7 linked regions of the Ovis aries genome follow. The protein of the gene in region 1 interacts with the protein of each later gene in a pairwise test. Links are inferred from orthologs where the notes say so. Each region holds a gene or a part of one and is shown on either strand. Other genes may lie near its edges.

Region 1 (3,500 bases):
ACCTGAACAAACACCCAGGAACGCAGCTACCAGGGCCAAGTGGCTTAGATTGGAGCTGCACGAGGCAAGTGTTTCTTTTAGAGTTGGACCCCAAATGTCCTCTCACCTCCCCACCCCGCCATGTGGCCCTAAATTGTCACAAGATGGGAAAAGGAAGCCTTTCAGGAGGGTTTCATCAGAAAAACTCCTCTCACACAGGTCTGTGAAGTCAGACACAGAAGTACAAACACAAGATAAAAAGAAAATACTAATTTGCAGCTATGCAGATGGAACCTTAGTGTGCAAGTTGGTTCCAATAATTTTGCTTTTACTTCCATTTTCTCCAGCAGGTTGAGGGGAACTTGCAGCTTGAGTTAAGGTCCTATGTCTTGTTCCAATTCATCAGAAGATAAAACCATAACATGTGAGCTAAATGACTGCTTTCAGAACATCTTTTATTTGGTGGCTCGCTGATGCATTTTTATATTTGGTATATTTTTTGGAGGAAACGGAGAAGGGATAGAGGGAAGAGTGACAGAGGCAGGAGGCTTGTCACTATTCACTGATACAAATGGGTACAGTAAAGGAAGTGGTAGTCTTTGAATGTAATGTTTTTTACCATGATAATGAAGTGGAAGAACAATCAAGAAGAGAGATGTTCACACACATAGAATCAGCAATGATTGTGACTTAACTACTCAGGAACGAATTCTGAGCTGTGTTCTGATTTCAGAGAGTGGAGTGACATGGATTAACTCAAGAAAGGCTAAGGATTACATAAACAAATGGGAGTGGCCCCAGTGACTGCCCAGCAAGGAAATACACAACTTGCTTGTTACCCATCAGTAAGGTCTTTGCAATGTGCTGGGGGAGCTTGCACTGTCTACACAACACTATACTAAACAACCTAACATGTCTTACAAACACTTGCCTCGTGGCGCCCCGGCCAATCTTGAGCAGCTTACTGCTTCCTTACATTTCCTTATCTCTGGCCACAGGCCCCAACTACACCATGACTTACTGATGAAGTTAGCCTGGCCAGTGAATATGGTGTACTGAAGCTCATAGGAGCTGATGCTGAACTCATCATCTGAGATCCAGTGGACCGTAATGGTGTCATGGGAGGCAGTACAGAGTTCCTCTCGGATAGATGGTGGGTTGGGGGCTGTAACGAAAGGTGGAAAAGAAGGTAAGGAAAACATACTCTCTGTTCTGGCATCTTATAATTGTTACTCTTGCTAACCAACCCAACATCTGGAAAGGAGGTTTTCTTGAAAAGAAGCTTTAGATTGCACGTACCACACAACCTGAAGTCAAGTGCTGAGACCTCAAGTTCCCCTAACCACTTTTGCTTCAATGATATAGGGATTTTAGGCAAAGATCTAAGCCTAAATTACCCAGTAGACCCATTGTCTACTTGGCCTGCACTAACACATACGTAGCTATAAGAGCTACGTAGTCATGTGTTTCCTTATTATATGGCCTTCAATCTATTTTCTTTTTATTTCAAAATAAGTTGTATTATATATTTTGGCAGTATTAATAGGGATTAGTTGTGCAAATTAATATGAGTTTCCTCATCTGCAAAATGGGGATGATAATTACCTCACAGATTCCTTGTAAGGATCATGATGTAAAATTAATATATAGTGTCTGGCTTAAAGGAGATGCTCCATCAATGACACCTATTTTAATATAGTAACAATGATAGCTACAAACACGAAGCTATTATGTGTGTATATTTCCTCATGAAATGATCATTCAAACATCCTGAAGGCAGTCAGTATTTTTAACAGACAGGTTGTTGCCCTCATTTTCTAAAATTCTCTCTGCAAGTCAGATATTTCTTACATTTTTCTTCCTATTCCGCTAATTCTTAAATTTCCTTACAAGCATTTGGGTGGTACCTGTACTCATGTGAGAAATTCTCTAATATTCTTTAATTACTACCCGAGTTCTACCCTTATAACAGGTGACGTTATATTACTGACAGGCTTGTAAGGAGAAAACCACCAGCAACTTCTTGTTTTTTACCTTTAAGTAGGGATGGTGTGTATACCCATTCTGTCCTTGGAAATATTTGACAAATCATTTCTATTTTCTGTTACATGAATTAAAATATATTCTATCTAAAAAGATATATGTATCATTTTAAAGATTATAAAGGCATCTTTATAATATTGTCCTTTTCAGATTATTTTAAAGTAAAAGCCTACCAAAAGAAAAGAACTAAAATGGAAAGGAAAGCACAGTATTTTCACACCTGTTAAATAATCTAGCCCCTCCAGCAGTTTCTTTTCTCTGGAAAAATCTAAAGCAAAGTTTTCAAAGGCATCATTAAAATTGATGTCTGGAATCAGAACTTGAGAAGATGCAGTTGCCATAGCGACCCTGAAAGAGAGAAAAGTGCATCAACATACATCAAAATAGATTTGCAACCTTTATCCAATGTTTGATTTCTGGTTTAACAAGGTGAAGATAAATGACTGGTAGGACTTGATTAAAATGAAAAATATCATATCTGTCCTTTTCCAATGGAAACCATTTAAATTTTAATCATCAGGAACCAATTAAGGGTTATACCATATTTATTCACATATGTTCACTCCTCAAACACACTCCCCCATCCTGTCTTAATTTGGAGAAGTAAATACAGGATTTTTTTCCCTCTGCATCATTTTCCATCTGGCAGGCAGCATCAAAACTAGACCTCTGAAAGCTTGGTGACAGCAGTTTGAGAGATTTTTTTCTCCCCCCCCCCTATTTTTTTTTTAATGTTAATCAACAATCCAGCATGCTAGGGCTTGGTTAAAATCTTCCCCTAAATATTATAGTTTGTTTGATCTTTGATAACATTTACATTTAATTTTATTGCTCTCTAGTTATATAATGCTATGCTAGTTTTAGCTCCCTAACTAATTGTAAGAGTCTCAAAAGCAGGATCTGCATTTTATACCATGGTCCCTAACACAGTGTTGGACACATAGTGAATAAATAATTGTTGAATGACTAACAACACCACCACAAAGGTCACTTTTATCAGGCATTCAGTATGTATAAGACACCAGGCATGCACTTTACACACATTATCTAAGTTACTCCTTTCCATAACCCTGTGTAGCAAATGTTATTTCCATTTTGTAAATGAGACATAGTAAGGTTAAGGAACTTGCTCAAGGTCATACCAGGGTCAGAAAAAAAGAAATATAACTGAACCCATGTTCATTGGATTCTAAACTCTATACCCTTAACCATGTAGACAGTTACTTTAAAAAAAAATTAAAGGTATATTTTTACAATTGTCAAAAATTATTCCACATCAGAATTATCTCTGAGCTTTGATTGAAATATACATATTTAGGCCCTGTGCCTGACTTGAATCAGAGCCAATGAGAATTCTTGAGCATGCAAATAACAGTATGGAAAGAAACATTAACTTGGCAACAATATGCACCTTAGAGTGGAGAGAAGAGGCACTGAATGTAGGACGACCAGAGAGGAAACTTGTATGGTGAACTAGT
Region 2 (3,500 bases), on another chromosome or scaffold:
GTTGCTTTTCCTCTGGTTACGAGGCATCTCAGAGCCAACTTGTGTTCCTGTCGAACTACTGTCCTTTATAAGGCAAGAACCGAGAGAGTCCATACATCTCTCTCTTGCCTTGACCTTAGATTTTAACTTATATTTACTATAAATGTAACATGTATGATTTATAATACTATTTATATATTTACCTTATATAAAGTTTCAACTTATTACAATATTTTCCTAGGTCTTTGTTTTCCATTTTTCAGGCTACTTAATCACGTATATGTGTCAGTAGGCTCATATCCTAAGAAATCAAGTGGGATATTTAAAAATAACATTTGGGCATATGAGGAATTCCTGTGGAGGCAAGTCAAGGTTGAGAACAGAATTCCCTGGTGGTCCAGAGCTTAGGACTTGGTGCTTTCACTGACTGGGGCCCAGGTTGGGGCCCAGGTTTGAGCCCAGGTTTGATCCCAGGTTTGATCCTTGGTTGCGAAATTAAGATCCCAAAGGCCATGCAGCATGCCCGGGTGGGGGGTTGGGGGAAGGACAACAAATGTTCGAGGGAGTCTGAAAGCTCAGAATGTGGAGTGGATGGACTGTAAGCTACTGTCCGAACAGGGGGTGCTTAGGCAGGGGCCATGGGCTGGAGATCACCACCTCCTGCCCCATCTCTCTTTACAACAGCTAAAGGGGAGGGGCCTGAGGACGCCTTGAGTCCTGAGACCCTACAGCAAGGAAGAGGGGCCTGCAAGGCCAAAACTCTTTCTACAATAACGCTAAGGTGTCACCTGTCTTTTGTTACTTCTGCTACTTGTCTTTTCTCTGGTGACTCTACGTGGACTTTTACCCAAGTAGGATGTTCCCATCACAGAGGCTATCGTGACAGACTGGATACAGAAGCAGGTGTGAGAATACCTGTCCTCCAGGAAGCAGCATTTTAGGGATTTGCAAAGTGTCGAAATGCCACCCATCCCACAAAATACTTTTTGAAAATGTATTTTTCATTAAAAATGCTATTTATGGGACTTTCCTGGTGGTCCAGTGATTAAGAATCCACGTTCCAGTGCAGGGACCGTGAATTTGATCCCTAATCAGGGAACAAAGATCCCTCATGCAAAGTGGGGCAGCCAAACCTGCGTGCCTCAACTACAGAGCCCAGGCACTCTGCAGCCCTCACGCCAAGAAGAAAGATTCCACACGCCGCAACTAAGACCCAAGGCAGCCATAAATAAATGAATAAATCTACTTCTTAAATATGCTATTTGTGTTAACATGTTTCTTACTGTCATTTTAAATGAATTAAATAGTTTTAGTTTTTCTGCTTGAGTTTCTCATAAGGTAAATATCAACTGATATAACCCATATAAACAAAAGCTCTTTGGGGGTCTTCAACAAATTTTACGAGTGTAAAGGTAACCTGCTACCAAAAAAAGCTTGAGGATCGCTGTTTCACAACAAACTTTCTTACAAACTCCCTTTACAGTCTTTGGACTGTTAATATGAATAATTCAGTTCTAACATGCCTTACGATGCAGGCTGATTCTTTGGTTTAAGGAAATTCTGCTGGTCAGTGGGTGAAATTCTTTACATTTCATGAATTTCAGGTTGCTGGGGTTTTTTTGGTTCTTTTTTTCCGGCTGTGCTGTGAGGCTTGCAGGATCTTAGTTCCCTGTTCAGGGACAGAACATGGGCCCCCTGCAGTGGAAGTGCAGATTCCTAACAACTGGACCCCCAGGGAATTCCCATCTTTTCTCTTTAAAAACAAACAAACAAAACAAACAGACGAAGCACTCCTCAGTCAATTGCTTTCATTGGCTTGTGTTTCATATTCATTCACTGAATACTTACTGAGTGCCTACTATCTGCCTGGCATAGTTCTAGAGGCTGGGGATACAACAGAGAACAAAGCAAACAGGAATTCCAGCCGTTAGGAGCCTACTTTCCACTGTTTCACAGCTGAGCTAAAGGCTAAAAGGATATGCCAAAAGGATAAATAATTAGTCATGGTTCTCCGCATGTCACAAAAAGCATGGTGCTGAGTTTCCCGAGTTAAGGGATGCGGCTTTCCTTTGGTCAGAAGTGAGATTATTCCAGGGGGCACGCAGACGTGGCATCAGACAGCTTTGTATCATACACAGTGAGAACGTTAACTCCTTTTCAGTTTCCTTTCAATTCAAAGAGAAAAATCGCAGAATGGTACTAACAAGACTGACACTGTCGGCCCCTTGCTGATTCCCGCCCCTGTAGATGTTCTCTTTTCCCCAAGGATGGGCCCGTCACAGGCCTTCAGCATCTCATGAGAACTTTATAAGACTTGTGCAGCAGCTAATGAATTCAGTAATGGGTTCCTCTACTGACCTGTTGATGGGGCCAACAGAACCTTAGCACTAATGCAATGGTTCTCTAAATGTGGAACCCAGACCAGCACTATCACCCGGAAATTTGCGGAAAATGAAAATTCATGGTTTCTCATTTCAGATCTCCCGAGTCCAACACTGTGGGGCTGGGTCTAGCAACAAGCTCGAGTCCCCAGGCGACTCTGAAAACTTGAGAACCACTGCTTTTAGCCTTCGCGCCTCCCCTCAACTCACGGAGAACCATCAAGGCGACTTCCAGCCTGCCTGCCAGGCACTTGGGCTCCTCGTACCATGTCCAGCTGTTTGTGCGTGTCCTCCAGAGACACGAAGGTCGCCTCCTTCAGCTGTTTGCTCACGATCTGGAAGAGGTTCAGCGTTGCCATCTTAATGGTGCCAAGCAAGAGGGTCTTCTTGGCAGCGGTGTTCTGAATGTGCGCCCAGCGAGATTCCTGGGGAGGGGAATGAGGGCAGGGTGTGAGTGCTAAGGGTGGGTGTGTATGTGTTGTGTGCATCCCTTACCCGTGTTTGTGTGTGTGTCCTGGTGTGTGTCCCTTACCGGTGAGTGCTGAGGGGTGTGTGTGCTGGTGTGTGTGTCCCTTACCGGTGAGTGCTGAGGTGTGTGTGTGTGTATCCCTTCCGCAGCTGCCTGTGTCTGTGTGTGTCTGTGTGGCCCCCACCCGCCCTGCACTCACCCAGATGATGACGTCACTGCGGGCACGGTCAAAGCGCATCTGCAGACGCGCCAGCTCGTTGTTGTGCTGCAGGATCTCGTCGTCCTTCTCCTCTTTGTAGCGTGCCAGCCGCGCCTTGGCACGCTCAATCTTCTCCTGGCCTTCCTGTGCCGACTGCATGAGGTCGTGGTGCATGCTCACCAGTGTCTTGTAGCGCGCGATCACCTCGTGGATCTCCTCAAACTGCACGAGGGCCGGGGGAGGGGGGGCGGCGCGGGAGGGGTAGTTGGGGGGGGTTTGGTGGCTCAGGTCAGTGCACCTCCGCCCGGGGGGGCGCCGACCCCACTCTGTGCCCCCAGCTCCCCCTGCGCCTCTGCCTGGCAGGGAGGCCCTGGGCTAAGTCAAGGGCCAGAGGCTGTAAAGCCCTCGGAGTCTCCGCTGCGCCCACCCCCACCCCGAGTTGGTACGGGCCGTGGGTCACGTGGCGTGGGTC
Region 3 (3,500 bases), on another chromosome or scaffold:
AGTGACCCGGGGACCCGGGGGGCACTCACTGGGGGCAGGGACTGCACGATGTCGCTGTGGTAGATGTAGCCGGTGTGGGGCAGCACCGAGGTGGACGAGAAGCCCGACAGGGTCTTGCGCTGCGCCCCAAGCAGCATGATGTTGCAGGCAGGCATCTTGGAGAGGTTGGTCAGGCCGCCAGCCACCCCTGCAGCAGGAGGGGGCAGACATCAGCGAGGTGGCGGGGGGTGGTCCGCCGAGCGCTGCCCCTTCACAGGAGTTTCCAGCCGCAGGCCTGAGGGGGGCCCGCCAGGGAGCGTCAACATGTCCCATCTCGGGGGGGATTCAGAGGGGCTCCGAGAGGCAAAGGGACGTGCCGGAGGCTGCACAGTGAGCCCCTGGCCCACGAGAAACCTGACCCCTCGTCTGGGAAGCCACGTGGGCCTGCCTGTGCTTCAGGGGTTGGTCACCACACCAGCGGCCCGGGTGTGAGCCACCTCTGGGTTCCAAGAGCGTGTCTGCGGGTGCGGGCAACACCCTCCTGGTCTCCAGGGTGGAAACCAAGGCGCGTGACACGGTTTGCCCAAAGACGTGAGGTCAGAGGTGGCGGGGAGTGGGAGAAGCAGGAGTTCATCCTTCCTGCAACCCTGCACACCCCTGCCTCACGGGCAGAACTGTGTTCCCCACAGATTCACTCGCTGAAGTCCTAAGCCCCCACCATCTTAGAATCTGGAGACAGGGCCTTTGCAGGGGTGAGCCAGGTGAGACGACGCCCCCAGGCTGGACCCCCAACCAGGAGAACAGGTGCCCCGATGGGAGGGGAGACCGGGACCCGGGATGACCAGGAGAGGACCCGCGGGCAGGGGCCACCCCCCTGCGGAGAGGCCGCAGAGGCACCCCGCCCCCGACGCCCAGTGCCGCCCTATCCCGAGGACGGATCTCGCCCTCGAAGCCGCGCCTGCGGTGACTGACTCGCTCGCTGGTCTATCACACACGTGCCCGCAAGCGTTCCTCGGCTGAAGGGACCAGGTGCCTGGGGGAGGTGGCGGGGCGCGCCCCGAGGAGGAAGGGACTCACTCTTCCCCATCACGCTGCCAGGACGAGCGCCCCCATCTTGCGGGGAACCCTGGGGCGCAGAGAGCTGACCCATCACCAGGCGGCCCCGGGTCCCCGGCCTCCCCACCGGCCACGCCCCGCCGCCCCTGCAGCTGCCGGGCCCCAGCTCTGCCGGCCGCCACGCTGGTCCGCGATCTCCGGACAGACGAGCAGGTGGGTATGGGGGCCGCGTGCTGGGCCCCAGGACGTGCAGAACACGCCCCGATTCACAGGAAAGGGACAGGCCTCCGCGAAGCCACGGGCGCGGGGCCGGGCCTCACCCATGATCTTGGCGGCGGTGGAGGCCCCGATGATGATGGAGAGGTTGGGGGCGATGAAGGACATCCGCGACTCCACGTACTCGTAGATGCGGTGCTTGGAGGCGTTCAGCTCCAGCGCCATGTCGCAGGCCTCCTCCAGCCGCTCCAGCTCCTCCTCCGACAGCTGCTGTCTGCAGGCAGGGTGGGGACACAGCTGGGGCGGGGCACGGCGGGGGCGGACTGAACGACCCGTGCTGCCGCGGGTCCTGAGTGGTGAGGGGCCCCAACCTCCCCGCCATGTGCGCCTGCGTGCGCGTGCACCTTCGGGACGATTACTAGCTCCGCCAGCCCGCTGCCCGTGGTGGCGCGTCCTCGCCGCTTTCCCTTCTCTGCCCGGCCTGCAGCCGGGCTCTTTGCAGGTGTTCCATCTTTCTGAAACGCTCCCCCCAGCTCCCCAGACCTTGCAGGTCTCGGCCTTGCCAACCAGCGAGGCCGCCATCCAGCTGCTCCCACCAGCTGCCGTCGACCCTGCCCATTCACGGCTTGTCCAGTCAGAGCCCTGCTGTGGGGTGACACGCCTCTGCCCTTCTCGCAGGCCCACCACAGACGTTGAGGGGCAGGGGGAGACCCCGTGTGCCCCTCCTTAGGGGACGCCACTTCTAATTACAGGCCTGCCCTCCGCTGCACCCCTGAGGACCACAGGCTCTGGGAGGAGGCTGGCTTCCCAACGCCGGGGACCCGGGGCCCAGAGCCTGGCCTGCAGGAGGTGCTCGGCGAACACGTGGCAGCGCAGCAACCCGTCCTCCTGACACTACGCCCGTGCCGCGGGGCCCCACGACCGACGGCCGCCGGCTGGGCCCGCCGGGCACGCACCCCTGGGTGGTGGAGGCGGTGACGCTGACGACCATGATGGTGGCGTTGGTCAGGATCTGCTGCAGGTTCTCGTTGTTCTTGCATTTGTCCAGGCTGTTGCCCAGCTCCTGCGGGAGGGGGGGCATGAGGGGGATGAGGGGGATGAGGGGCATGAGGGGGATGAGGCGGAGGCCCGGGGACTCAGGAGGGTCTAGAACCTCTCCTGCAGGGACAGCGGCCGCCCCGTCTGCCCCCAGTTCCTACAAGCCCGAGGCTCAAAGCATCCGCAGTCTGCCCCGGGAGGGGGCTTGCCCAGAAGCAGACGGTCCACCTGCAGAGGACGGGCTGCCCCCACAGGCCTGCAGCCCGCGTCCACTCGCGGTGCAGGTCTGACCGCGTCTCCTCCCCACCCCCATCTGCTCGACTCTCCAGGAGCCTGGGTGCTGGGTGGTGTCCCGCCTTCACGTGCCTGCCCCTCCCGTGGGGCCTGCCCCTCCCGTGGGGCCTGCCCCTCAGACCCGGAGCCTCGGAGGCCAGATTGACCTGATGACCTCTTACACTCGCCTCCTCCCTCTCCCTGAACGCTCCAGGGCCTGTTGCCACCTCGGGGTCTTGGCTTCCCCCAATCTCTGCTCCCTGTTCCCATCCTGCCTCTGGCCCAGAGCTGAGTGACCCCCTGGAGGGTCCAAGAGCAGGGTGCTCTCAACAGGCGTGGTGGCTGGGGGCCCATCCTCTGTGCTCACCTTGACGGTGCGGATGTAGTCCAGGGCGTTGGGGACCAGGGACTCCAGCTCGGGGAATCGCTTTGAGTACTTATCCCGGATGAACTTATGGATGATGTCTGGGGGCACAGGGCGGGCAGGAGCCCGATGAGGGGCAGGCAGACACCGCTGGCTCCCCCAGCACCCATCTGCCCTTCGTCCTGCAGTGAGGGAGCCCCTTGTGGCAGCCGGGCTCACAGACACACAGCACAAAGGCTGCCCCTACTGCAGGGTGTGGCTGTGTGGATCAGTTCTGGTCCATAAGGCGTGAGGGCAAGTCACACAGGCAACTTCCAGGTCACTCTTTTAAGTGAAAAAATGTGCCCTCCTCCTCTCTCCTGATTGTTTTTGCTGATGGGGATGTGGAGGTGATGGCTGGAGGTGGGCAGTCACTTTGTACCATGAAACAGGCGACAAATCAGTGAGACACAGACAGCCTGGGCTCCTCATCCAGACTTTCCCACGGGAGGAAAATACACTTCCTTGTCACGTCACCCTTCTGTTCAGTAGCTGAACCTACGTCTGAGCTAATGCAGGGGCTTCGGGGCAGGGC
Region 4 (3,950 bases), on another chromosome or scaffold:
TAGTAGAAATGGGCTGACAGCAGTGAGGAAGGAGTAGGATTTCTGTGCATCAAGCAGAGGGCAGAACTGTGTCATCACTAAAGCATCTTCCTACTCCTGAAATCTGTGATTCAGCAGTGAGTTGCAACTGAGCGTTCAGACAGACCATGTCACTGGGACAAGCACACTTACTTCATTTCCACAACTGCAAACAGGGACATACAGTGACCCTGGCATTGTCTAAGATCCTGTGGCTGAAAGACACTGAATTTAAACCATCGACTACAGGAGCCTCATTTTACTTCCCAGAATACAGTGCTATGCTTTACTTGAGGAATATGTGATTTTTTTGAGACTGTATCATCTCAGATCAGTTTTGGAAACCAAGGCCTAAATAATAAATACCTTAAATGAGATTATCCATGGAAAATTGAAAAACCGTAAGTATACTTACAAACGTTAAGTATCATCATTGCTAACTTTCAATATCTTTTTTAAATATTGTGCTATTGAAAATAGAGATTTTAAACAATTTTATACCCTCTAAAGCCTCTAATACTGCAATGAACAAACTAATGAATTCATCTTAACAGTTTTCTAATTGGCTTGGTTTTAAGTATCACCATGGAAAAAGGCTGTCTCTACACTGAGTGCTTGAAAGGTCCAGGTCAGAACTGGCAAAAGCCAGAGGTGGGATCCTGACCCTCCGGCTCCACCCTCCGTAAACCGTCTCCCTGGTCCCTTTAGAGCTGGAATGTAAGAAATTCCTTCTCTGGCCCAGCTTCTATCTATAAGCATTTTCACTTTCTTGTCCCAGAGGCCTATGCCAGCACGTCTGTGGGGACTCGGCTCCCCAGGCAGAGCCAAGAAGGCATAATCGCACTTCCCAACTCTGCAGACAAATGACCCACCCACTCACTCTTCCTGCTGGACCACTGCTGTCCCGTAAAGCCCTCCGGAGCCGGGCCACCTACCTCCAAGCACTTCGCAGTCGCTGTCCATGCTGTCATGGACACCCGCAAAGATGTTGGCCAGAGTGGACTTGCCCACCCCCTGCTCCCCGATGAGAACCACCCGGTAGTAGGTGTTCCCGGACTCGGAGGAGATGACTGAGTCCGTGGAGTCGGAGGACCAGCTCCGGCGGCAGGGGTCCTCGGGGGCGGTGGGGGGACGGCTGCGCTGGCCGTACTGCGGGGGCTCCTTCTGGACCATGAGATGCCTGCCATCGGCAGGGATGCTCCAGCGCTGCTGCTGCGGCTGCACGCCCGCCGTGCCCTGGCGCATGGTGACATGGTTCAGAGTCATCGTCAGGTCCTGGAAGGCAAAGCAGCCAAGATGGTAGCATCAGGAAGCATGAGTTCAGGGAGCTCGAACACAGTCATCAGTGATATTTTAGTATGTGAGGTTACCAAGTAACCCTCACACAAGGAACACCAGTGAAGCAGTCCCCAAACCCAACAGGCTTTCAACTGAACACACACACACACACACACACACACACACACACACACACACACACACACAGCAGCTCCTCAGGGAGACTGTCATTTGCAAAGAGGAAAAGGTACCGTTAATATCGCCCACTGCCCTGGGGCTTCCTCCATCCTCAAGGAAGCCTGGGGATTCCCCACTCAGAGCGGGCACAGAGGCAGCCAGAAGGCACGAAGAGCCTCTAGAGAAGGCTTGAAAAGCAACAAGTTAATGCAGCTGGGGACCAGCTGGCCAGGTTAGCCGCTGATGTCTAAACATGGCACTTAAGTAGCAGCAGCACCCAGCAGGCTTTTATGCCTCAGTGGGGAACACGTGACAATGACATCATCCCCCCCGGCTGGATTGGACCAGGGCTGATTGGAACTTCCATGTTTAGTAAAGTTGCCCTGATGCCTGAATATGCTCTTATTTGAGGGGGAGAAGAATTTCTGCAATAGGTATATGCCTCACTTCTGCCCCCTGCCCACAGATATCACATTTAACCCATCCCTCTGCCTTGTCCTTCTGGCAGGGAGAGGACCTGCTCACGTTCAGAGCTGTCAAACTTGCAGAGACAGTGCTTCACTCTTTTTAAACTCTGTCCACTCCAAGAGTTCCTTTCCATCAGCTCGGATTTCCACCTTCCTGAAGCCAATCAGGTCCAAGACTCCCTCCAGAAAGACATTCAACAACGTGGCTACAGCTTGGCCTTTCTCAAGACTGCCTCCCCTTGCCCGGTGGTCTGGACTCCCAGACTCTCAGACAGAAAGCAGAAGCAATCTCATTTTCAGCAGCAAGATGCACCGGTGAGCGAGAGACCCTCCCCTTCCCGCACGCACTCCCCAGAACCCCAACACGTCGATGACCCTAGCCGCGACCCTCACCTCGATGACCCTGATGACCGATCGGTTTGTAGGTTTGTTTTTTTTTAATCTTACAAGCAGCGCCTCCGGTAGGCCGACTCTTCAAACAACCAGTGCCTGAAGTATCCCTGACGGCTGTCCTCCGACCACAGTCTGGAGGAGGAGATGACCCTCCAACTGAACTGCACGAAAGCAACCCGCCACCGCCGAATGGCATCCTTCGCCCCTTAAACTCTGCAACACCCCTCACCCCCCCGACCCCCGATCGAAAGACCACCGCGCCGGACAGCAGGTCCGGAAGGTTCTTTTCCCCACTTGGAAAGTTCTCCGCGGGCTGCGGACGCCCACCCCTTCCCCCAGTCCTGCCCCCCGCGCCTCTCCGGAGGACCCCGCTCCCCGCCGCGGGCTGCTCGCCTTACCGGGGGTGCGGCTGAGAGCGGACGCGCGCCGCGATGCGGGCGGCCGATCGCGGGGTGACTGCGCCGGGTGCGCCCGCGCCCGCGCCCCGCGGTTTATACGCGCGCGGCCCGGGCTCTGCCGTGACGTCAGCGCCCCCGCCCGGGGTTTGGGGGCCGGGCGGCTCTGCAGCAAGCCCCGAGGGGCAGCCCCTTCGCCAAATCGGTGACTCGCCGTCATGTGACCCCCGCCTCTCTCCCCTTTTAAAAAAAAATAACGACAGTTGAATCCCGGCTTCCTTTATTCTGGTTTGTTCTTTTGACCAGGCGGACGCTGGAAGGGGGCAGACAAAACACGAAGTGCCCCTTAATTGCACTTTCCAGCAAAACAGTTCGCGAGCTGTCCGGATGAAGGATGGAGGAAGAGGCAGGTTGGGATTGGAAACCCAGTTTCGCCAAAAGAAAAAACAAAAACAAAACAAAACAGGGGGCTACAGCCCCATGGAAGTGTTCGGGGCTTGTGTCAGCCGCATCTTCTGCAAGGAAAACGGCCTCTGCCCGCTCCTGTCGCCTTCCCGGTGAATGAGGGAAGGAGGGGATACCCACACTGCTTGTCTCCCTTCTCTGACCGGGACCCAGAGAAAAGGGGCCAGAGGAAGGTGGGGCAAGGGGGCAAGACCTTGAAAAGGTCTTGAAAAAATAGCTTAAGTAGGGATCCAAGCAGACTGTGCTCAATGTGGCTAGCCCTCCTGCCCTGGACCAGGACGCTGAGGCTCCTGGATCAGGGAATTTAATCAGCATCCCGACTAGTAGCATCTCCTGTACCAGGCTCCCTGGCATGGCCGGTCCTGGCCGTGGGGCCAGGGCCTCTGGCCATGCGAGGAGCCTTAGCCTGGGTTCCAGTCCCAAGAATGATGCCTGTGAAAAAAGGGCACAAGATAACAGAAACAGTCACTTCTATCATTTACTGAGTGTCTCTGAGTTCCTATATTTAGTAGGTACTGTTAGACCTCTGCAGTATCTCAAACTTTACTACAATTCTGCAAGGTGAAGATACTGCTGCTCCCATTATATGGAGGAGGAAAATGACCCCCAAAGTCAGAGAGCTTGCCCAAGGTCACGCAGCTCATGTATGTGGCAGCATCAGGACTTGAAGCTCCGCTTGCCTGGCTCTTTGCACTGTGCCCCCAGCTGGAGGGATTCAGTGACCTCTTTGGCAGGCCACGGGCATTTCCCAGACACT
Region 5 (3,500 bases), on another chromosome or scaffold:
CATATATGTGACAACTAGAGAATAATTCAAGCCAGAATAACTTTGAGTAGGACAAAAAGTGTATGTCTAAGAAGGATAAAGAAGGACAAGATTGATGTGGGCTGGAGAAGCTGAGAGAAAGAAATGTTTGTTTTTGTAAGATAAGAAATGGGAAAAATCAGAACATGGAGGAGAGAGAGGGACCTTTCTGGTGACATTAACAACAAAGCAAAAATTTGGTGCTAGGAGTGAATATCAAGTTTATAGAGTCTATATTTTTTCTTTAAAGTATTCCTGAATTTAAAGTACTACTGAATGCCAGTTTTGTCTTGTTTTTAAAGGCAAAGGAATAAATAACCTTATCTCATTGAGGAGTTTCTAGCAATGATTGGGTTGACGGAATTAAACAAAACAAAATCTATAAACTAGTTAAACCCTTTTCTTCCAAGTCTAGTCCATTACTGAATCTTTAAAAAAATATTTATTTCGGCCACATTACATGGCTTGTGGGATCTCAATTCCCCAGTCATGGACGGAACCCATGTACCCTACTGAGGAAGTGTGGAATCCTAACCAATGGACCACCAGGGAATTCTCCACATTACTTCATCTATTTCACTTAAACATAGCCTGATTTGTAGAGCTGGTCCAGACATTGGCTAAGTATCTGGTGTTCTGTTTACCTAAAAATTATTAAAAATTTTTACTTCTATAGCTATTATATATATATAATATATAAATTATATACATATTTTTTTCAAAATATAATTTATGTACATACTGCCTAAATTTAAAAAATATGACTACTCTTCTACTCCTTTCAGGTTTCTCCTATGTGATTCTAAGAAAGTATACAAGTTACATAATTTTCACCCTAACACAATCATACAGAAAGTTTACTTACTATAGGTTTAAAAGCCAGTTAAGTGAAAATGTTTGCTTCAAAATTTCATTTCCTACTCTTTCTTTATTGGCCACAGAAGAATAAAGGCAGTAAAATTTTGCATTCTTTATTACTTTCCTATAAAAGTGGGGAAGGCTTAATTGTGAGATTAATATATTACCAACTTATATGAATGCTGATTATTCCATAATAGCTACATGATATGACCTGAAGGTTCCTGGAAAGATTCCCTCTGCTTTCTGTTCCAGGAACATAATAGTCCTAAGAGTGAATTCATTGTCTTGGGATAAAATGTAATATTCCATAATTTTTTTTGTCAAAATATTAAGACTGTTATGCCATTCATAGTTATTATGAATTTATACACAAGGATCGAGTCCTCCTCATCACCTCCACTAGAGTGAGATAAGCATAGGTCCCCAAGGAATGGAACACAGCATGGCTTGTTCTGAGAAACTGGAAATGGTGGTTTTAGAGATGGGGTTGCTTTAGACACCTGATGACATAAGGGGTTTCAGTAAGACATTAGGAAAGAGAGGGATAAGAGGAAAGAATGCTAAATGGATAGCTGGGAGAGCTGTAAAGCAAATTTAGTGCTAAGTCACTTCAGTCGTGTCCAACTCTGTGTGACCCCATAGACGGCAGCCCACCAGGCTCCCCCGTCCCTGGGATTCTCCAGGCAGGAGTACTGGAGTGGGGTGCCATTTCCTTCTCCAATGCATGAAAGTGAAAAGTGAAAGTGAAGTTGCTCAGTCGTGTCCAACCCTCAACGACCCCATGGACCGCAGCCTACCAGGCTCCACCGTCCATGGGATTTTCCAGGCAGGGGTACTGGAGTGGGGTGCCATTGCCTTCTCCAATATATACGTGTGTGTGTGTGTGTATATATATACACATACATACATACATATATATATATATATATATATATATACACACACACATACATACATACATACATATATATATGTAATTTACTTAAAAAAAATCAGATCCCTGAAAATTTAGGTCCTCCTAATTTTTAGCTATGGTCAACAAAGCAGCTGCATTTTGCAGACACTGACTGAGCAACCTGGGTCTGTGGGGCACCGTAGGGTGCTGCCAAGTGGCGCTAGTGGTAAAGAACCTGCCTGCCCATGCAGGAGATGTAAGAGACTGCAGGTTCAATCCCTTTGCCAGGAAGATCCCCTGGAGAAGGGCATGGCAACCCACTCCAGTATTTAGCCTACCTCTTAATTTTCCCAAAGTTACTTCTGAATACATAACTAAACTTTCTCTTTTTTTTTCTCCCTTTGGCTGTGCCGTGTGGCTTGTAGGATCTTAGCTCTCCAGCCAAGGACTGAACCTGGGCCCCAGCAATGAAAGCATAGAGCTCTAACCATTGGACAGCCAGAGAATTCCCTATAACTAAATTTCTTTGTTCCCTTTTCTTTATATTATGTTGAGAATTATGTAGCAGACTATGTTATTTCAATGTACAGATGACTCTATTTTATGATAAGTCTGTGATTCCTATCTATCATCTTTTCACTAAGCCACACATACAGGCCTCAATTTTGGAAGGTCTAGAGAAACGTAATATTGAATCCAGATATATTATCTTTTTATTAAAATTTTTTACTAAAACTTTCTTACGCTATCTTGATGCTGCATTAGTTTGGAAATTTGTTCTCCTTTAATTTCCATTTTCTTGACTAAACGCTCTAGTTCACATTCTATATCTTCACAGACTGATTGGCTTTCAGTTTCTTTCATTTGATTCAGCAGGTCCTGGTACTCCCTATGAAAGAAAAGCAAGTATCAAGCACTATTACAGTTAATAGTATACAAACTATATATATATATATAAAATATATATATATAAACTATATATTAATCTTTGTCACAATTAAACAATACTCTGCTCAATCATAAATTTTAACCAGAGTTAAATATTAACCTTCAAAGACAGCTTCTTTTTGTAGAGTTATCAAATTAAATCTACGGTAATTATAAACAGGCTCTTATGATTTGAGATTAGATATATTTAGAAATCTCTCAGACTTAGGCTCTCAAAGAATCTTAAAAAATGTCTGAATTCTTAGTGTTCATAGTTAAATGTAGTAAAATATTCTGATGTCCTTAGCTAGAGGCATTAAGGGACTCTTTTTCATTCCAAGTTTGGAATTCTTAATGTAGAATCTTTGGAAGAATTCCAGCTATAGAAGTATTTGCCTGAGAAATTCCTAGATTTGGTGAATGCCTGCTCAAAAAAACTACTGCTAATAGAACTAGTTATATCTTCTACAGAGGTCATAGTTCAACTAGTTGGCCACCCAAGTCACATATTTTCAGGAATATTTTTTGAAAAGCTATTTAAACTTGAAACTTAAAATATGTATCCCATACAGAATCTTTGAAGCATATGGATGCTTCAAACATGCAATGCAGACCGGCCAGAATGGAAAATAAGAAATTGCATTCTTATTTGTCTAATGAAATAATTCACTTAGCTGAAAAGATTATAAAAAGCAGAAGGAGAATCTATCTTGGAAAAGCATTTGTGAATTATAATTTAAGGTCACCAGATGCCATTTGTTAGAATGACAGAAATATTTGTCTATCAGTTCAGATCTTG
Region 6 (3,500 bases), on another chromosome or scaffold:
AACAGCACCATCTTAAGGAAAGTTTCACGGAAGAGCTAAATAACAGTTTTGGGATACACTCTTCCCATCAGCTCTTGAAAGGCCCAATTTAAAGGTAGGCCTTTCATGAGACCCAACTTTTCTCCTTGTTAGAGCCTGAAAGTACCTCATTTAATCTCAAAGCCATTTCCACTTCACCCTCCTTGTCCAATGAGAAGAGTTGATATTTCAGTATTGCACCAAAAGACTTTCACATGAACCTTTCCTTATGTATCTTAGGAATGCACTGGTTTTCTAAGGAGCTTGATTATTAAAACTTGAAATGCTAAAGCAATGATATTTTATGACTTTGAAGCAATCTAAGAAGTAATTAATAATCTCCATTGACTCCTATCTAGAAAGCTACATGGGCTGGAAAACAACATAATAAGCAAATATTTCCTGCTGATTAGATAGACTGATTTTGGTGGGAGAAGAATAAGGAATCCTTATTTAAAAATTTTTTTAAAGTTTTAAAATTTTACTGGTATCTACTTCCCTGGTGGCTCAGACGGTAAAGCGTCTCTCTACAATGTGGGAGACCTGGGTTCGATCCCTGGGTTGGTAAGATCCTCTGGAGAAGGAAATGGCAATCCACTCCAGTACTATTGCCTGGAAAATCCCATGGACAGAGGAGCCTGGTAGGCTACAGTCCATGGGGTCGCAAAGAGTCAGACACGACTGAGCGACTTCACTAAACTAAACAGCAAAAGGCAGGAATTTACCTGCAGTGGAGATACTTAAGGTTTGCTAAACAGCATCTGAAAAAGCTAGATTACTTTTTGATACAAACTTCTTTAATATCAGGAAATAATTTAACATACCACATATCATTGGAGTAATAAATGTCATCAATTCTCCCATTTCCTTTCCTGCTGTCTCTCTATTAAGGAATTATCACTAGTGCTAATCCAAATAATTTGGAAGCAGTCCTTTTCATTTTATACAGGGTTAACAGACAGCTGTTTTGACTTTGGTTTTTATATAAAGAACAAAGATCATGGCATTACAAATAATGGTTAGATAATTAACATCTTTTGGGTCAGATTTAGTCACTTTCTGTCCGCTGAGAAGGAAGTGAATTAAACTTAAATCAGCCAAACATGAGTTAATGTAAAGCTCTTTGCAGAGCTTGGTTTTCTCATAAACAAAATCTCTCAGCTATGAAAAATTATATCTAAGTGATTTGAGGGACCTAAATAGTCTAGTCTAGTATAGATCACTCTCTCTTTCAGTTCCTCAATTCTGCTGTTACATCATTTCCTCCTGAGAGCTGAGGCCAAAAGGGAACAGTTGCTGCCATTTCTGAAATCCTGTTGCCAATGCTTTCCTCTGCTGCTGCTGCTAAGTCACTTCAGTTGTGTCTGACTCTGTGCAACTCTATAGATGGCAGCCCACCAAGCTCCCCCGTCTCTGGGATTCTCAGGCAAGAACACTGGAATGGGTTGCCATTTCCTTCTCCAATGCATGAAAGTGAAAAGTGAAAGTGAAGTTGCTCAGTCATGTCCTACTCTTAGCGACCCCATGGACTGCAGCCCACCAGGCTCCTCCGTCCATGGGATTTTCCAGGCCAGAGTACTGGAGTGGGGTGCCATCACCTTCTCTGAATGCTTTCCTCTATTTGGTTTTATATTCTTCAGAGGGAAAAAGCAAATGAGAAAGCTGACCATTGGTAAGTAGAAGTAACATTCCAGGACTAGGAAAATGGGAGGTTATTCCAGTCTCTTTTCACTTCTTACCATGAAGAAGGCACCCCGGTGATAATACTTCTGTAGGAACTTATATTTGCCCTTAACAGCTTTGTTGGTAATGACTTTGCCATTTGCCCGAAGCTCAGCTCGCCTCTCTTCCTCAGTTAGGTTTCTCATTCGTTCAATTTCTGCTTTCTCCTTCTCAAGTCTGTTCAGAGAATGAAAACTATTTATTAGTTTCATTTTAGTTTCATAAAGACCCAGTTATCTGAATATGACACAGTCCCACCTCCTTTCAAGCATTATTTATCTTCACAGATTCTAGTTACTATCTGTTAGGAATTAAGATCAGAAGTTTAATAAATAAAAAGGTCAGGTAGTCTTCATTACACTCACAAGACCAGGTACTGCAAACTTCTGAAAGTTGATTCTAGTTTTTTTGAGGTTCAGACATACTACTACTGCTTGATTTTTATAACATTACGAATTTCCCTTCCCTGAAGAGCCTTCTTTGTTTAAAAAAAATCAATTTAATTCTGTATAAGACTTGACTGGTATTTTTTAAATAATGTGCTTACATACCACAAACCAAGGGTCACCATCATTAACTAGACTGCAGCAGTTTCAACCTTTTTTAGGGGTGGAGAGTCATAGGTCCCTTTTCTTCAAAAAAAAAAAAAAAAAAAAAAAAGGCATCCCTAGTAGTTTTTAGGAATGGGTGGTACAGCTCCAAGATGATTTTGGTCTAACTGAGTGTGGTAGAGGAACTGCAGAGCAACCTCCAAAATTGTGAGAAATAAATAATTGTTTTAAGTCACTTACTTTTGGGTTGGGTTGTTACGCAACAACAGAAAACTGATTACAGCAAGTAACCAGTTTGTGTCAACTAGGAAACTACTAAAGGGAGTATCACCTGCACTCTTATCACGGAGAAACACTGACAAAATGTGTTTCTCTTCCCTGATTCTGTTATAATAAGCCACATTCCACTCACGGGGAACACACCTAGCTCTAGGAACCCTAAAGAAAGCTAGAATGGAACCCACAGTAGGTGCAGAGCCTAAGAGCTACCCTACTAGGAATATGACCACCCAGTGGTATTAAGCTCTAAGCTCATCCCATTACTCACGCTTCTCTGTCTTCTCTGTCCCTCTTGATTCTCTTTAACTCCCGAACTTTCCAGGCCTCATATTCCTCCTCATCATTTTCATCATCAGTATTGAGTGCATCCAGGGCAGCCAGAGACCGCTTGTTCTCCTCCAGCTCTTTCTTGGTTTCCTCCTCTACAATCTGGATAGGGAGAACAATTCAACTGTTGGACTTCCTCATTCTCCCTCAGACAGACCGAAACACACAACTCCTCACACTCAATCCTCACAGCCACGCCCAGCACCTTGAGTGTGTACTTGCGTCTCTCCTCAGCCATGTGTTTGGCCTCCTGCTCCAGCTCCTTCTGTTTCAATGCTTCAGCCTCACGTTCTTGAACTGTCACCCGGTCCTTCCTGCAGCACAGAGGTCCTGTTAATTGCCCAAAGTCCTGAGAGTAGTGCTCCTTGTTCCCTAAATCAAGTCTCATTCAAACCAGACAAAGCCAAATGGTCTCTGGCTCTGTTATTTGCAAAGAGCTAAAAGTGGGAATCATTTCCGGTCTTTAGAACATCAAAATTCCATCATCTTTGAACTGCCTGAATATCAAGAAACCTGCTGGACTGTAGGATTTCTAGCCATTAGGAAAGGAATAGGAATTTGCTCTTAAGTTTGATTTTGTATTTAAAATAATATAAGACCTTG
Region 7 (3,500 bases), on another chromosome or scaffold:
GTGGTCACCCAGAACACCCAGGCCACGCAGGGCAGTCACTCGGGCTACCAGCCCTGTGTCACAAACGCTGCTGGCCACAACCTGCCAAGAAAGCCCTTCGGGCTCTAATCCTAGTCAGCGTCCCTGGACCACTGCAGGAACCCAGGGGCTACCTTGCTGAGCTGGAACAGAGCCTTCAGAGCAGCTGCATCCTCCACAAACTCCTCCTTCACGTCAGCATCAAAGGTGAGGTAGGCCAGGCCCTCCACTGCCCAGCGCCGCGTGCCCACGTCCATCTGGTCATTGCACAGCCACCTGGGGGCGTGCAGGGCACTGATGACTACCAGAATGGGCAGGGGGTGGCGGGGGGTGGTCGGAGGGGTGCCCCAGGAACCAGGGGGATAAAGCCAGCGGCTTGGGCATCCCCACCACATACGGAAGCAGTTCATGTGGAGGGTCTGCCTGGGGAGGACAGGGCAGTGAGGATTCCCCTCTTCTCTTGAGGTCTGGCCAGCAGGCAGAGAGCCACAGCCATGCTAAACCACTCACTTTCGACACTGCTTGGCCAGCTTGAGAGTGGAGCCTTCGGCAAACTGCTTCATGCTAAAGTCGGTCCCTCCGGCTGAGCCAAGCTTACAGAGCCCCTGCAAGAGAGGGTGAGAACCAGCTGTTGGCCAAGGGACGGAGGCATGGCAGGGCTCCCTGCCAGCTCTCTGCCAGGCTCCCTGGGGGCCAGGCACACCCCCACCAGGCTACCAGCTGGGCTGTGCTAAGTTGCTTCAGTCGTGTCCGACCCTTTGCGACCCTATGGACTGCAGCCTGCCAGGCTCCTCCATCCATGGGATTCTCCAAGCAAGAATACTGGAGTGGGTTGCCACGCTCTCCTCCAGGGGATCTTCCCAACCCAGGGACTGAACCCACGTATCTTACGTCTCCTGCACTGGCAGGCGGATTCTTTACCACTAGTGCCACCTGGGAAGCCCACAAAACCAGCTGCTAGGGTGGCCGTGTGATAGCATCTGGGAGAGACTGACATGCTGACCACATGCTGGCCTGGCCTCCACCCCACTGCCCGACGTGCACCGGACTTGCTCTGTCCCTTCCCACCTCACGCCAAGGGAGCCCTTGACGGGCAGACCTAAGATACGTGTGGGGAGAAGACAGGCGCCTCAGCCAAGGCCAGGACCCCCATGGGAGGGAGAAACCCAGGACAAGGTGCCCCGAAGAGGAGGATCGGCTTCCTCCAGGGGCAGGGCTGCAACAGGCGCACAGGGGTCAGGTGTTCCCTAGACCACCGGCTCTGGGGCCTGCCTGGCAGCCCAGCCTGTTCACACAGACCCCAGGCCTGCCTGGCCTAGTGTGTCCTCCAACTCCTCCCAGAGCCACTCCCACCGCCCACAGTGGGCAGCCCAGGCTGCCCCGCATTCTTAGAAGTCCTCTCTGTCCAAGCCTCTCCTCCTCCTCCTCCTCCCCAGGAGGAGCCAGGGCCCTGCTCCGGCCTTGACAAGGCCCTGAAAGTGAAAGTCGCTCAGTCATGTCCAACTCTTTGCGACTCCATGGACTATAGCCTGCCAGGCTCCTCTGTCCATGGGATTCTCCAAGCAAGAATACTAGAGTGGGTTGCCATTCCCTTCTCCATGGGACCTTCTCAACCCAGGGATAGAACCCAGATCTCCCACATTGCAGGCAGATTTTTTACTGTCTTGAGCGATCAGGGAGGCCCTTCAACAAGGCCCTGCACATCCTCCATTTTCACCAAGCGTGTGCTGAGGCTGCACTCTGAGACGGGCCAGCTGGGGCCCCCTGTCTGGCTGCCTGCTGGCTCAGCCCAAGCCTGCCCATCTCACCACCAGTGCCCGGATGCGGATGCTGTCCTTCTCGCTGCGCTTGTACAGGTCTTTCAGCAGCGAGACGCCATTGGCTGTGATGAACGAGGCTCGCTTGGCCTTGCCGGCTGCATGGATCAGGGCCTCCACGGCCACCAGCTGCTCCTCCTCCTGCTCCGAGGCGCACAGGGCGATCACGCTCTCCATGACGCCGTTCAGCTCCAGGGCCCGGTTGCCAGCATCACATGGGCCCTGCAGGAGGCAGGACACTGTCTGGATGGCCCGCAGCTTCCCGGCCAGCCCGTGGCCCTCAAACCAGCTCCTGCGGGGTACAGGGTGGCAGCTATCACATCACAGTCAGCACAGAGAGACTGCCCTTCCCTCCGCCTCCTCCACTGGCCAGGCATCTACAGGATGTGGGCAACAACAGCAAGAAAAGCTGCCAGCGGGAAGACCAGGACACCAACCCTCTGGACAGCAGCCACCGGGGTTCTTCATCCGGGCTCTCATTCGAGCCCCACCCCCAGCCCCGATGACCTGCCATCTAACGCAGGTCGCTGTCATTCACGCCACCCTGTCTGCACCCTGTGGTCACTGAGGTCCGAACTTGGGCCACTCACCCCGTGACTTGTCATCCATCAGTCTGCTCCTAGCTGTGAGCCCTTAAGGGTGAGGACTGTGAAGCAGCACTGATGTGTCAAGATGGACACACAGCATGTGCTCGGTGCACACTACGTGCTGGAGGACACCAGCTGCACTAAGACAGCTTGAGCTTGTGCGTATTCAGTCGTGTCCAACTCTTTGTGACCCCATGGACTGTATCCCGCCAGGCTCCGCTGTGCATGGGATTCTCCAGACAAGAATACTGGAGTGGGCTGCCATTCCCTATTCCAGGAGATCTGCCGGACCCAGGGATTGAAGCCGTGTCTCTTTCATCTCTTGCACTGGCAGGCAGATTCTTTAGCTATGAGCCAGCTGCACTGGATGAGAACTGACATAACAAAGAATATCCTTGGGGACCTCCCTGGGGGTCCAGTAATTAAGACTGTGCTTCCACAGCAGGGGGAATGGGTTTGAGCCCTGGTCGGGGAACAGATCTGATATGCTAAGTAGTGTATAAATAAGAAGGAACGTCCCTGCAGAGAGACTCTGAAACAACAAGTGGCCCTTGGGACCATTCTGACTCTCACAAGTCCTCCCCAAGGCCGTTTCTCTGATGGGAAACCTTTCACTGTTGTCTCTCCCCAAATAGTCAGCACTCTCGAAGGAGCCCTGGCTACAGGAGGGCTCCCTTACTTGATGTAGTTTTCACAGAGTCGGTGGAAATTCTCCCTCTCGGCATCACACTTCAGGTCATCGAAGAGTTTGCTGAGCAGAATGGAGGCGCTCATGCGGCTGTTTGCTGTCACTGTGAGCTCCCCAGGAGGGTCTTGCACAGAGCCCCCCACCTCCAGGATCTTCTTCAGACCTGAAAAGACACCCTATTCAGACAGCTCCAACCCCGATGGGCAAAGGGAAGAGGTGTCCGCTCGCACGAGCTCACAAAGTACAGACAGGCTCACAGAATTGGGCTGGCGGAGTCGCTGTCTACCGGGGGGCAGGTCTGGGGTCAGCAAAGGACCTCAGAACTTAAGGCCTGTGGGCTGGCCCTGCCTGTGGAGCCAGATGCTCTGGAGCATAGAGGTTCCTGACAGC

The links.
Region 2: the proteins of MID2 (region 1) and CCDC42 interact in binary tests that used the Homo sapiens proteins (3 or more experiments, as listed by UniProt). The two-hybrid records come from large-scale screens. The link is inferred for Ovis aries from reciprocal best matches to the Homo sapiens genes MID2 and CCDC42.
Region 3: the proteins of MID2 (region 1) and PRPF31 interact in binary tests that used the Homo sapiens proteins (3 or more experiments, as listed by UniProt). The two-hybrid records come from large-scale screens. The link is inferred for Ovis aries from reciprocal best matches to the Homo sapiens genes MID2 and PRPF31.
Region 4: the proteins of MID2 (region 1) and GEM interact in binary tests that used the Homo sapiens proteins (3 or more experiments, as listed by UniProt). The link is inferred for Ovis aries from reciprocal best matches to the Homo sapiens genes MID2 and GEM.
Region 5: the proteins of MID2 (region 1) and CEP57L1 interact in binary tests that used the Homo sapiens proteins (3 or more experiments, as listed by UniProt). The two-hybrid records come from large-scale screens. The link is inferred for Ovis aries from reciprocal best matches to the Homo sapiens genes MID2 and CEP57L1.
Region 6: the proteins of MID2 (region 1) and MFAP1 interact in binary tests that used the Homo sapiens proteins (3 or more experiments, as listed by UniProt). The two-hybrid records come from large-scale screens. The link is inferred for Ovis aries from reciprocal best matches to the Homo sapiens genes MID2 and MFAP1.
Region 7: the proteins of MID2 (region 1) and UNC45A interact in binary tests that used the Homo sapiens proteins (3 or more experiments, as listed by UniProt). The two-hybrid records come from large-scale screens. The link is inferred for Ovis aries from reciprocal best matches to the Homo sapiens genes MID2 and UNC45A.

The regions. Positions count from the first base shown.
Region 1 is NC_056080.1:127,335,799-127,339,298, forward strand, and holds part of MID2 (probable E3 ubiquitin-protein ligase MID2), read right to left. Parts: intron 2,371-3,500; coding exon 2,243-2,370; intron 1,145-2,242; coding exon 911-1,144; intron 1-910. UniProt on the Homo sapiens protein: E3 ubiquitin ligase that plays a role in microtubule stabilization. Mediates the 'Lys-48'-linked polyubiquitination of LRRK2 to drive its localization to microtubules and its proteasomal degradation in neurons.
Region 2 is NC_056064.1:28,079,578-28,083,077, forward strand, and holds part of CCDC42 (coiled-coil domain-containing protein 42), read right to left. Parts: intron 3,251-3,500; coding exon 3,029-3,250; intron 2,786-3,028; coding exon 2,627-2,785; intron 1-2,626. UniProt on the Homo sapiens protein: Essential for male fertility. Required for sperm development.
Region 3 is NC_056067.1:64,008,904-64,012,403, forward strand, and holds part of PRPF31 (U4/U6 small nuclear ribonucleoprotein Prp31), read right to left. Parts: intron 3,028-3,500; coding exon 2,930-3,027; intron 2,315-2,929; coding exon 2,208-2,314; intron 1,526-2,207; coding exon 1,356-1,525; intron 188-1,355; coding exon 30-187; intron 1-29. UniProt on the Homo sapiens protein: Involved in pre-mRNA splicing as component of the spliceosome. Required for the assembly of the U4/U5/U6 tri-snRNP complex, one of the building blocks of the spliceosome.
Region 4 is NC_056062.1:82,966,316-82,970,265, reverse strand, and holds the start of GEM (GTP-binding protein GEM), read right to left. Parts: upstream 2,801-3,950; 5' UTR 1,584-2,800; coding exon 1,548-1,583; intron 1,294-1,547; coding exon 954-1,293; intron 1-953. UniProt on the Homo sapiens protein: Could be a regulatory protein, possibly participating in receptor-mediated signal transduction at the plasma membrane. Has guanine nucleotide-binding activity but undetectable intrinsic GTPase activity.
Region 5 is NC_056061.1:28,286,775-28,290,274, forward strand, and holds part of CEP57L1 (centrosomal protein CEP57L1), read right to left. Parts: intron 2,664-3,500; coding exon 2,519-2,663; intron 1-2,518. UniProt on the Homo sapiens protein: Centrosomal protein which may be required for microtubule attachment to centrosomes.
Region 6 is NC_056071.1:53,258,122-53,261,621, forward strand, and holds part of MFAP1 (microfibrillar-associated protein 1), read right to left. Parts: intron 3,212-3,500; coding exon 3,103-3,211; intron 3,000-3,102; coding exon 2,839-2,999; intron 1,918-2,838; coding exon 1,758-1,917; intron 1-1,757. UniProt on the Homo sapiens protein: Involved in pre-mRNA splicing as a component of the spliceosome.
Region 7 is NC_056071.1:21,032,091-21,035,590, forward strand, and holds part of UNC45A (protein unc-45 homolog A), read right to left. Parts: intron 3,274-3,500; coding exon 3,102-3,273; intron 2,128-3,101; coding exon 1,827-2,127; intron 624-1,826; coding exon 529-623; intron 295-528; coding exon 153-294; intron 1-152.